Daphnia pulex: one gene and its partners. Each later gene encodes a partner of the first gene's protein in a complex. Links are inferred from orthologs where the notes say so. Each region holds a gene or a part of one and is shown on either strand. Other genes may lie near its edges.

Region 1 (2,962 bases):
GGAGCATCAGTGTAGTATCTGTTCAACGTAGCACTAAAGAGCAGCTTCGGTGTAGCAAGTCGGAACTGCGTAATACTTGGCCGCCTCGGTTGTGGTTGTGTAGATCGGGGCAGAGTAGTACTTTGCCGCTTCGGTGTAGTATTCGACCGTCTTGGTGGAGATCAGCGGGAGCCTCGGTGTAGCAGCTGGGAACAGAGTAGTACTTAATATACTTAATATAGGTGCAATAAGTAGCTGAGAACAGAGTAATACTTGGAAGCCTCGGTGTAGTAGAATGGGGTAGCATGCGTAGTCCTGCTCCGTCGCCTTGGTGGTGTAGTAACTCGGGGCAGAGTAATACTTCAGGGCGTCAGTGTAGTAAATCGGGGCAGCGTAAGTTGTGGTATAAAACTTCGGTGCCTTAGGGGTGTAGTACTTGTAGACCTCGGTGCAGGAACTGGTCGTTGCGTAAGTTGCTTTTGGGTAGTAAAGCGGTGGCGTTGCGGTTTGGTATCCGCCATACCCAGGAGACATCAATACACCAGTGGTCGACCCACCAATCAACGATACAACATCCAACAGCCTTATTATCTAGACATTAAACAATTTCAAACATTATTAATCAATAATAATTTGCATTTTAACAAACAGAAAATAATTGGCATTAATAAAAAACTTTATGTAGAGACAGAATATTTACCCATGGGTGAAGAAGGCAGATGGTGACAGATAGCGCACAGCAGTTGTTGCCGTGTCGGAGATCCTCACTCGACTGATGTCTCTGGCCTTTTTCGTCTCCTTTTTATACGATTTTTTGATCACCCTCACCTCTTAAGCCTTGCGGGTATTGTACCTGTTCGATAATGATGAAACACGTACCTTTCTCACCCAACCTCTCCGCCGTCGCATGATACGTTCTACGTAATGATCTCCGTGACCTTCGAGCGTCAAACTGGCCTTTCCTTCTGCAGTTTGAAGTTGCTGGGGGGTGGGTCGACAAAAACCAATATCAAAATGAATACCAAATGGTTATGGCTTGCAGCTATTTTACCTGTTTGATAATGATGAAACACGTCCCGTTCTTACCCAACCTCTACACCACTGCATGACACGTTTCACGTAATGATCTCCGTGACCTTCGAATGTGAAGGAAATGCAAACTGGTCTTTCCTTCTTTAGGTTGGCGTTGCTGGGGATGGGTCTACAACAACAAATATCAAAATGAATACCAAATGGCTGAGCCTTGCGGCTATTATACCTGCTTGATAATGATGAAACACGTACCTTTCTCACCCAACCTCCACCGCACTGACAGTTTTACACGTAATGTTCACCGTGACCTTCAAGCGTGAAGAACATGCAAACTGGCCGGCCCGTCTGCAGACCCCTGTCAACCGATTTGCCTCTTGACTAGCATGCTCTAGCGGTCTTCAACTCAACCTTTTCTACAAAGTAATATGCAGACGAAAAAAGACCAAAATTAACAGATTCCAAGTTTACGTTTGATCATACCTGTGACAGTGTGACATCATTTATCAAGTTTAGATTTCAGTTTAATTTTATTAAGTGTTATATTCTGTAGTTACAATGGCTGGGTCTGCTCTTCGACGTTTAATGGCCGAGTACAAACGTGAGAATTGTTATTTTTTGTTATTTTTATAACTTATTAGGTATTCCTGTATATTTTACAAATTTAAGTAATGCATATTTAAGTAACCCTTAGCAGTTATTTGATAATGTATGACTTTTTTTAGAACTTACCTTGAATCCACCTGAAGGTATTGTAGCTGGTCCTATCAACGAAGAGAATTTTTTTGACTGGGAATGCCTCATTGTGTAAAATATTTTGATTCATTTTCTGTGCATGATCTTGTCTCACTTTTTAAATACATTGGTGGTTTTTACAATCCATAGGGGACCTGACGGAACATGTTTTGAGGGTGGTGTTTTTCCAGCAAAATTAACATTTCCAACTGATTATCCATTAAGCCCACCAAAGATGCAGTTTACTTGTGAAATGTTTCATCCTAACAGTAATTTAAATAAAAACTTAGTTAAATATAAAAACACTTGTTAATACTCAAGTTGATTTACCAGTCTATTCAGATGGAAGGGTTTGCATTTCCATTTTACATGCTCCAGGTGATGATCCCTTAGGATATGAATCTAGTGCTGAACGATGGAGTCCTGTTCAGAGTGTGGAAAAGATTCTACTTTCAGTCATCAGCATGTTGGCAGGTCCGTATTTAAATTGGTAAACAATCGCCCTTAATTAACCTCTTTATTACAGAACCTAATGATGAGAGTGGAGCAAACATTGATGCTGCAAAAATGTGGCGAGAAAACCGAGCTGAATTTGATCGCATTGCAACTCGAATCGTTCGGAAATCATTGAATATTCCCTTGTAATATGTACAATATAATAAAAGAAAAATTATGAAAGCGGTTGTCCTTTTAAAAAATATAAAAACTCGTCTTCGACATTAATTGTATTTGACAGTTTTGTGTTATGTCGGGAAAACACACTGTATATTATCTATATATTGAAAGGTTATATTAAACTCTATAGATGCACATTGGCAAATGTATCTGTCCAATCGGAGAGAATTTGTAAATTAAATTAGAAATACTTTTTCAATGACTAGAAATGACACCATTCTAGGGGGCAAAGTGGGAATGTTGCAGAGAACCTTCTAGTTGCTCTGAGTAGTAGTGAGTTGTATTTAAATAGTCTCGCAACCGTTTGGGAAGTGGCAACATACTGATTTGATCTCGCCTGATCAACTTCAAAATAACAAATCTAAGATAATTAATGTGTGAATTAAATCAAATTAAACCATGTAGTTTATTTGAAAAATGTACCTGGACAAGTGTTGCAAGCTTTGAACTTGGCGGAATCGTGATACTGGGTGCAACAGCTGAACACGAGTAGGTCCGTGTGTTGGCCTTCGATGAAGGAAAAAAAGAAACCGACCACTCCTCG
Region 2 (4,183 bases), on another chromosome or scaffold:
AAAACCAAATAACAGGAGAAACAGATGAATTCCTCATGTGAGTAAAGTATCCGCCCCACAGTGTGTGTTCAAACCCAATGGAATTCAATTAACTCACTAATGTTGGGAATTTTTTCTCGGCACGTTTGGGCTCTCAAAGCGTACGTGCGTGTAATGGGAACCAAAATACTGAGCAAATAATTGAAACCGTTTCAGTCCGGTTCTTCTTCATTTATTTTTGTTGTTGGGGTCGCCGAAAATAAATCGTCACACATGTGTGTAGTACACATACTTTCGCATGCGATATCGATCACTTGCTTTATGAAATAAACATTTTTTTTTAATTACATTTCATCTGATCACATATTTCGAGAGCATTGCGGCGAATCAATTTTAAATTACATTTCTCTCGCGCGCTTTTTATCCGCCGTTTTCCCACGGTGATGTTTTGTTTCGTGTTTTTTCACTCCGTCTCGGATCAATATCGAAGGAGACTGGAATACACAAAGATGTGTATACCGCCCTCTGTTCTTTTAAAACGATATCTCTTTTATATTTTTATACTTGTCGTAAACTATAGTTGGACTCTCAGGTGAATCAGCCTTCGTTGCAAACGCCCCACTTACCATTTAAACGACCAGAGTACCTATTTTTTCCAATTCTTTTTATTGTATATTAGTTTATTTCTTCTACTGCCGAATCGATATGTTTCTCGGTCAAAGTTTACGACTTTTACGAAAGTAGTTTGAGGGGGGGGGGGGGGCAATGTCGACAATTGCTGGATGAATATTACTTGTAAATGCTGCTACTTCGGTAGCGGAACGAATGCGCCGGTAGGCCATTTTCTTTAGAAAACCATAGCGGCTCTTCTTCTATTTTCAACAACAAAAAGGAAACTTACCTTTTCTATTATAAAATCGGCAATATTATTGGACCCTCGGTCTGAGGTGCGCACTTGCCCAAAAGGGACGCCGAACGTTTCGTTACGGATCGTTCCCAATTTTAACTTTTTTTTTTTGCCAATGTCCAATATCTTTTAGTATACTGTCACTACTGTAAATACGTCGCGGAATAATAATACGGGCGCCAGTCCGCATCTTCCATGGGATTTTCTTATATTACTTCATGCTGAACGGATGCTGGTAATTAGCTTATACTGTTCCGCATGCAGGTTGTTTTTTTAGTTTTGCTTTATTCCATGTTATCCCCGGTGTCTTTAGAAAGCGCTGTGGCCTTCGTATCGTTTAATTTCGGGTACCGAAAAAGCTGTTGAAATTGTCAATTGTGTAGCAAATTAATGAGGCCAGACAATTAAAGGACGATGGTCGGGTCTTTTTTAAAATTTGAAACACGTAGTACGGTAGTAGACATGCTGCTGTCTTAAAGAATCGTGGCAAGATACAACTATATTTAAGTTATGATATAATCCGTTCTTTACTTCTTATTAGCGTGATAACAGAGCTTTCTTTTTGGACAAATGGACTGGTCAATATTGACTCGATTCTGACGTCATCAACAAATCGACTGGTTGCTGTTTAGTAGTTCCGACGTATTTGCAGGGGTCTGTTTACGTGTCGATAGTAATGGCTTCTCCTAATTTAGAAGAGTTATTTGAGGATTCAAGGTAAAGTTTCCTCGAATTTTCGTATGACATTCATCCAATTTTCAAACCTCTTTCAGTCTGTTACAAATTTTAAACAGCAGCTTCAATTTTGTAGCTAAGGTCTGACATGAAACTATCGTTCCAAGTAGGTTTTTCGCTATGCAATATGCTACAGGATCTTGCAGATCGATCTAAACATTGAATTTCCGAGATTATCAAGTCCTACTCAGACCTTTTAGTCAGCATAAATTGTCATTGTGTCCATTACAGATTCTTAATAGAAATATGCCCATACAGCAGCAGATGTTATGATTTGCTTGCCTTGGGGCTGTGTGGGATCACGTTCTCTTCCCTTAACAACTTTGTGTTATTACTGTGGTGCTAGATGTGTAATGCGTTATTTTATAATTCTTATTGTTTATTTTTGTCCAGGATCACACAATGGGATTGGACATTGCTGTTGTTGGTATTTTACACCCCTCTAGGGCTGTTGTTGCTAGTAATGAGAATATTTGCTCTCATTCAATTCTATCTCATGTTTCTGTACATGCCATACCAACCTATCAAAAGGTAACAGTCTATACCTCATTTAAAAATAAATATGGCAAACTATCATGACGTTTGACTCCACATGTTCAGGTACTTGTTGAGGGTGTGTGGATTCATGCTGGGCGTCTTTGTGAATGAGAAATACTCAAACAAGGCAGTTGTTCAAGAAAATGCTGTCTGGGTCGCAAATCACTGCAGCCCCTTTGATTCAATTGTGCTTCAAGTTATTGCGGATAAGAAAGGAGTCATCACCACCTTTCCAGAGGAAGAAACAACAACAGCCAAATCAGGACTTCTCAAATTTCAGCTCGGAAGCTTTGAACAACACAAACGAAACAACCCGAGCCTTCCGGTTCAGCCGCTCTCTTTGAGGATTTCACGTCCTTTCCCGTCTTTTGCCATCACAGTTCTTGACAGCCAGTCCTGGACGGATGTGTTCTTCCTCCTTTTCAGCCCCTGCACAATTTTCAACATTAAGTAACGCTAAATTTAACTTTGTTGACTCAAGTATCCAGCGATCCTAATGGCGGTTTTTATTTTAGATTTCTGGAACCGACTCAATGCCGTGAAGATGAAGAACTCGAAGCTTACGTCAATCGGATAGAATCGACTGTCAGCCAAGACCTCGGCGTTACCGTTACATCTTTCACAGCCAAAGACAAGGTGAAGACGTTGCTCTTTATAACTTTGGTCATTCGTTTATAGTAATAAAATGATTTCTCTAGGCTGAACTAATCAAAAGAAAACGATTTGAAGCTCAACCTCCTCGCCCTGTTCAACGACCCAACAATCGATGGCAAGTGATGGCCAGTCAGGTCAAAGAAGTGCTGCCACATGTACCGATGGCTGTCATTTTGAGCGATCTAAGTAAAATAACTAGTTTTTTATTGAATCAAATCACACATTAACGTTTCTATTTTTATTTTCGTACGTAGGTCGCACTAATAGTGTGGATGCCACGGTGGCAAATTTAGTGGAAGGTGTTGTCCCTTTCATTCCCGAGCCTGTCGTGACGAGGGTAGAGAGTGCTCCGTCGGGGCCGTCGTCACAAGCTGGCCCTTCCAACTTTAAACCGTTGGGTGCTTCGTCGCAGTTGCAACAAGTTGCTGCGTCTTCTTTCAGCAAATTGGTTCACGAGCGTGGCCTGTCATTGCAGGAACGAAAACAGCGCTTAATGCGCCAAGCCCAGCTGCGTTACTGTGAACGGCATGGCCTTCAAATATCGGGAATAAATTGCTGAAAATGTCAAACAAAAAAACAACAACAATAACACGCTGTAAAAGATTACAATGCTTCACTTCTCTCCCACCCCCTTCCCGAGATATCTTTCGTTTAGTTTTTTTTTTTTATTTTTTTTTTTTTTGCTTTGTTTTAGACGGTTTCTCTTTCTTTTTTCTTATTCCCTCCAACCTGTATTGTGTTTATTTGTCCAGCGGGATTCAAAAATCATCGTATCTCTTGTACTACCGTCTAAATATTTGAACAACTCACCTATTGAACGCAACCGTCGACACAACCATCTGTACATACATATAGATTTGGATAGATTCAAATAGCTTTTTGGAATTTAGAAATTCAGTCGCGTTTTTCGGTTCGTCAAAATACACACACATCTTATTTGGTGGGAAAAAAACATTGAAAAAGACTCGGTTCTCAAGATAGATCTCGTTAAAAGCCCTTGTCGGATCGTTAGCTCAGCCTTTTGTTTTTTCTCTTTATTCTTCTGTTAAAATAAAAAGAAACGAAACCTTAAAGTTGGAAGTGTGCTAAATGGAGGTCAACGGGAGAGAAAGAAATCGTCTAGACATTTTAGAGCACCTGCCGAGATTGAATAATAGATAATTGCAAGGGGAAAAGAAAGGAGCCATTAAAAGAATCGGTCTGCTTTACAATTTGAAAAAACTTCGGAGCAAAAAAGAGCTTTTACTTAAATTGTCATTTACTTGCGTTGTCCCGAATGGCTGTTCATGATTTTAATTTAATAATAATAAAAAAAAAAACAATTGGAATTTTAAATTTACCGAAACACGGTGTGCGAACGCGTTTTCCGAA
Region 3 (4,264 bases), on another chromosome or scaffold:
AAAAGAAAAGAATTCCATATTTCTTTACTTGACAGGTTGGAAGGTCGTCTACGAAGAATAGGTCTTAATTCGTCTGAAAAATAATTGGAATGATAGCCAGAATTCGGCTTTGAAGCTATATTACCCATTTAATGCTGGGAGCTGTATAGCGGCGTTTTCCGCAAACATATCTTGTTGAATTCCAATAATCCAAATTTGGCTCAACCAAATAACCTCGCAAATAACAACTTAACACTAACATGATAAACATAAATGTTAACTGCTTGTGAAATGCGTGTTGTAAAACGCTACAGTATAAGAAATTGGAATAGAGCCAAAATGAAAAAAAAAAAAAGATTCTCTTTAAAGTGCAGAGAAAGAGAAAATGAAATGAACTTCAAAAGTCACTTCAATTACTTAGCCATCCCTTGTTTTCGCAAAGTTATTGTTGCTTCATTTATTTATATTGAAGGATTACCACTACATCGGATAAAAGCGAAACAGGGCGCAAATTTCAAATGGAAACCTTGACCTGTCGTGACCATCAGGAGGTACGCGATAAGACTTTGGTATGTAGTGGATTCAAATTGTCTCGAATGTGAACATTTACAGAATTTAACGGTTCAGTTACTTTGCAGAGCTGACGCCCTATTGTAACGAATGTTGAGGACGCAAATCAGGCGTTATAACAGTGCCGTGTGTGTGCAAGGACACCTTCTTCCGGTCCCCATCTGGTACGAAATGACACGCTACTTTTTTCATAACCGCCCAACAAGACGATAAAATCGGCTAGACATGCAGCTAGACAACGTTTTATTTCTGATGTTTCTCCCTTTTTTCTGTCTTCCATCACGCGTTGCCATCAAAGCAGAAATAATAATAGTGAATACATTTTCTTTTCAAGGTTGATTCGGGAGTGCAATTTAGATTAGCGTAATTGAGTACTCTTATGCGTGTCTTAGGGCAGTGCCATAAAACTGAGCATTTTTGGTGCGGGAGAATGTTGCGGAATATTTAGCGAATATATCTCAGAAAATTATTAAGGGATCTTATTGAAGTTGTTTCTGAGTAAAAACAATAAAATCTACTCAGACTTGTGACGTATCTTTTTCATTTTTAATAACAAACCAGTATTCGTCGATCTAAAAACAGATTCAGCCCAGTCCCAGCATCACATGCGTAATGAATAATTGAATATTTATTAGCTTGACTGTCCGAGTCTCCGAGAGCGCAATTCAGTCTACATCTACATTTGAGAACATGTATGCAAAGTTGACATTGAATACATTTTTTCCCCTGGGGATAGCGAGACGAAATCTGCCTTGTAATTTTTGCATATTTTTGACCTTGCTAGAAAATAGTTTGCTGGAACTTTTTGAGGTTGACGCCCAAAACGTCAGTAATTTTTTTTCATTCCGTTTGCAGTGTTTACGTGTACTAGATGCTGTTTAGCCTTACCCGCCTTATCAGAGTTTTGACACATTTTCGGATTATTGAATCATTTGACAAGGCACTTGTTATCGAAATGGTCGTTAGATAACGCAGTGTTATCAAGATGAAATTGCCTTGAATTGCTGTGCTAGCTAATCCTAGTTATTTCTGCTGATGTTTTCAAATGCAATTTTCACCCCAGATTTGTTAGTAGTTTTGTCGTCTTGTGAACCCAATTTTTCTGTGTCAACAACAACAACATGCCTGTCTTACTACTTGAGAGACTACCTCTCCCGAGTTTGGAAGCTTACGCGGTAGTCAGTGTTTCTCTTTTGGGTTTGTCTCTTCACTACGCTGCAGAAAAAACACAAAACCCTGAATGGAGGATGCAATTTGTTAAAACGAATAGCAGCCAAGAGATTCCCAACTCCTTGCAAGCATTTATTTCAAACATCCTGTCTCGTTACTGGCTCAGCTCCAGAGCTCAAGATATTGTGTCATTTTCTATCCATGACAGTCTCTGCATTTGGGTTAGAACATGGCCATCCTATATTATTAGTCAATATCCAACACTTTAATCCTTTTTTATCTTCTATCCTTTACAGATTGTTGTGAACATGGCTTACTGCCTCCTTGTATTATTTGGAAATTGGCTGCAGAAGCAGGTGTTTGGGGAACTAAGAGTTTCTGAACTACAGCACATCAAAGACAAGTTTTGGAATTTTGTGTTTTACAAATTTATTTTTATATTTGGCATTAAAAATGTTCAAAGTATGGAAGGTGTTATATTATGGGGGTCCTGGTTTTCTGTTATTGGCTTTCTACACATTCATGCTCAACTTTGCCAAGACAGATTTGAATATGTAATTGGATTTTATCTTTCTTTTTTAAAAGCTCAAACAGGTATTGTAATTTATCTTATGTTTGGCGAAATTATAGTTATCTATGACTCCATGTACCCCTCGAAATCGACACATCCGCTTGCTTACCCTGCTGGGATCGATTCTGGTGGCATCGGGATTATTATTTTTGATTTGCCTCGCCGTTGGACAACGCGCTGGATGGATTACATTTGCCTTGGTCGCCCCGGAATGTCTTCTCTTGGCTTTACGTACCACCCACGTTATCTTTAGATACATCCTCTACCTGCAGTCTTGTCATCCGCCCATCCATCAGATCTCTCAAGGTTACTTGAGTTGCGCATTCGCAACAGAGACTCTCGATGTGCTCAAACATCTGACGATTGTTGGATCATAGGGTGGAGTCCTTCGTCGTACTACGTGGAATTGGCGGTGGAGATTTCATGCCTCGTTGTGGATTTGGCACATCATGTGAGACGAAATTGCTTTCTGCAATGCGACTGAATTTCGGTAACCCCTTTTTTGTCTCTTTTCGTTTAGATTCACATGCTTCTGCGAGCGAATATGCTGCTCTCTATGGCATCTTTGGTCATTTTCATGCAACTGCGAGTGCTCTACGAACAGCTGTGTGGACGTCTCCGGCGACACGGGAACTACAAACGGTTGCTGAAATTGGTGGAATTGGTTTGTACTCGAGTCGATCTAAAATATCTTAATCTCCCCTTCTTCTGCCAAGTCTCTAGTTTTAATCATTTAGTAATTTATTCTGTTATAATAGTGCTGTCCCTTGGAAACACTCCATTTCGAACTCGAATCTGAATGGGAGGATAACAAATGTGCCATTTGCTGGGAAGCAGCAGCTGTAGCCAGACGGTTGCCGTGTGGTCATCATTTTCATCATGGTATTGATTCATAACAATTAATGAGGCAATCCTTCATCTATCTATACTTGTATAGGTTGTCTGTTGCACTGGTTGGAACAGGATCCTACGTGCCCTACGTGTCGACGCCAACTTTTAGAAGATGGATCGAAAGAAACTGCTTCGTCTTCACGTCCCCGGGAAACTGCAAGTTTTATATCGTGGACGGGCTGGAGTCGACTGTTTCAACAAAACACTGATACTCCGGTAGTAGCAGCTGCAGAAAACTCTCAATTGGAAGCTTTAGCTGATCAGGTGTGACGAAATCTATCATAAAATTCTACTAATTCTTGTTCAACAATTTAAATGTTTATCGTTGTAGGTACTTCAATTGTTTCCCGATTATTCGTTTTCTGTTATCGTTGAAGATCTACGGCAAACTCGCTCAGTAGACTTAACAGTTGAGAATATATTAGAGGGTCGTCTTCTGCCCACACTTCCCAGCTTTCAACAAGAGCCTAGTCTATCTACGTTGCCAACATTCGCCAGGCAAGAAAACCAATTTGATGTTTCCCAGGAACCAGAGAAGCTCTTTGTTGATGATCCGCAAGAAAGACAACACATTCTTCAATGTCGTAAGCATGAATTAATCGCGGAAGCTCGAAATCGCTTTCTTCAGAGACAAGCACTCGAAAACAATTCCACTATCATTGAAAGTTGATTTTCTTGCTATACACGTGTGATTCTAATTTGTTATTGATCCTAAAGTGCGTAAATTATGCATTAGTGCATCTCATAATTCAAAAAACCTGTTTGTATATTGGCAAGGTAAATTATGAGTAGAAAGATAGTGCCTTTTTAATAATTACGAAATACCGCTTCGCTCGACTGGGCGTGGAAGAAAACCCTCTCTATGCCGCAAGCTAGTCCCATCACACAGACGTTCACTGTCAAACAGGGCCTACAAACGTGATTTTACTGATTCACTACCGACGAAGTGAATGCGCAATCAATAGTAACATTTGATTACCAAACATGTAGAGGACGAAATCGGAAATGTGTGACATTTTTTTTCTTCTGAGATTAATAAATCTTTCCCTTAATATCTTGAACAAGAATAGGTGATTTTCTTTC

What was found.
Region 2: the proteins of ubiquitin-conjugating enzyme E2 G2-like (region 1) and lipid droplet-regulating VLDL assembly factor AUP1-like are in contact, whole or in part, in a crystal structure (PDB 7LEW), measured with the Homo sapiens proteins. The link is inferred for Daphnia pulex from reciprocal best matches to the Homo sapiens genes UBE2G2 and AUP1. Residues at the interface, in NP_003334.2 of Homo sapiens: Tyr13, Thr17, Pro20, Gly23, Ile24, Val25, Ala26, Gly27, Pro28, Met29, Asn30, Glu31, Glu38, Leu40, Met42, Glu45, Glu50, Phe51, Val53, Pro55, Lys156, Val159, Gln160, Ser162, Leu163, Leu165; in NP_853553.1 of Homo sapiens: Ser379, Arg382, Gln383, Leu386, Arg389, Lys390, Leu393, Tyr394, Tyr396, Ala397, Arg398, Arg400, Phe401, Thr402.
Region 3: the proteins of ubiquitin-conjugating enzyme E2 G2-like (region 1) and E3 ubiquitin-protein ligase AMFR-like are in contact, whole or in part, in an NMR structure (PDB 2LXP), measured with the Homo sapiens proteins. The link is inferred for Daphnia pulex from reciprocal best matches to the Homo sapiens genes UBE2G2 and AMFR. Residues at the interface, in NP_003334.2 of Homo sapiens: Tyr13, Leu16, Thr17, Pro20, Gly23, Ile24, Val25, Ala26, Gly27, Pro28, Met29, Asn30, Glu31, Glu38, Leu40, Met42, Glu45, Glu50, Phe51, Val53, Val159, Gln160, Leu163, Gly164, Leu165; in NP_001135.3 of Homo sapiens: Ser574, Ala575, Arg578, Gln579, Met581, Leu582, Arg585, Lys586, Leu589, Leu590, Ala593, Arg594, Arg596, Phe597, Leu598, Lys600.

Annotation. Positions count from the first base shown.
Region 1 is NC_060021.1:11,411,916-11,414,877, reverse strand, and holds ubiquitin-conjugating enzyme E2 G2-like, read left to right. Parts: upstream 1-1,457; 5' UTR 1,458-1,566; coding exon 1,567-1,609; intron 1,610-1,733; coding exon 1,734-1,815; intron 1,816-1,893; coding exon 1,894-2,012; intron 2,013-2,076; coding exon 2,077-2,217; intron 2,218-2,269; coding exon 2,270-2,388; 3' UTR 2,389-2,421; downstream 2,422-2,962. Other genes in the region: uncharacterized protein LOC124194765, read right to left, coding at 2,638-2,779, 2,842-2,962. UniProt on the Homo sapiens protein: Accepts ubiquitin from the E1 complex and catalyzes its covalent attachment to other proteins. In vitro catalyzes 'Lys-48'-linked polyubiquitination. Involved in endoplasmic reticulum-associated degradation (ERAD).
Region 2 is NC_060020.1:2,338,601-2,342,783, forward strand, and holds lipid droplet-regulating VLDL assembly factor AUP1-like, read left to right. Parts: upstream 1-1,331; 5' UTR 1,332-1,562; coding exon 1,563-1,603; intron 1,604-2,014; coding exon 2,015-2,152; intron 2,153-2,221; coding exon 2,222-2,608; intron 2,609-2,673; coding exon 2,674-2,794; intron 2,795-2,856; coding exon 2,857-2,998; intron 2,999-3,066; coding exon 3,067-3,371; 3' UTR 3,372-3,885; downstream 3,886-4,183. UniProt on the Homo sapiens protein: Plays a role in the translocation of terminally misfolded proteins from the endoplasmic reticulum lumen to the cytoplasm and their degradation by the proteasome. Plays a role in lipid droplet formation. Induces lipid droplet clustering.
Region 3 is NC_060017.1:3,098,027-3,102,290, reverse strand, and holds E3 ubiquitin-protein ligase AMFR-like, read left to right. Parts: upstream 1-1,397; 5' UTR 1,398-1,670; coding exon 1,671-1,940; intron 1,941-2,015; coding exon 2,016-2,273; intron 2,274-2,349; coding exon 2,350-2,596; intron 2,597-2,667; coding exon 2,668-2,741; intron 2,742-2,810; coding exon 2,811-2,954; intron 2,955-3,048; coding exon 3,049-3,172; intron 3,173-3,227; coding exon 3,228-3,445; intron 3,446-3,512; coding exon 3,513-3,851; 3' UTR 3,852-3,879; downstream 3,880-4,264. UniProt on the Homo sapiens protein: E3 ubiquitin-protein ligase that mediates the polyubiquitination of lysine and cysteine residues on target proteins, such as CD3D, CYP3A4, CFTR, INSIG1, SOAT2/ACAT2 and APOB for proteasomal degradation.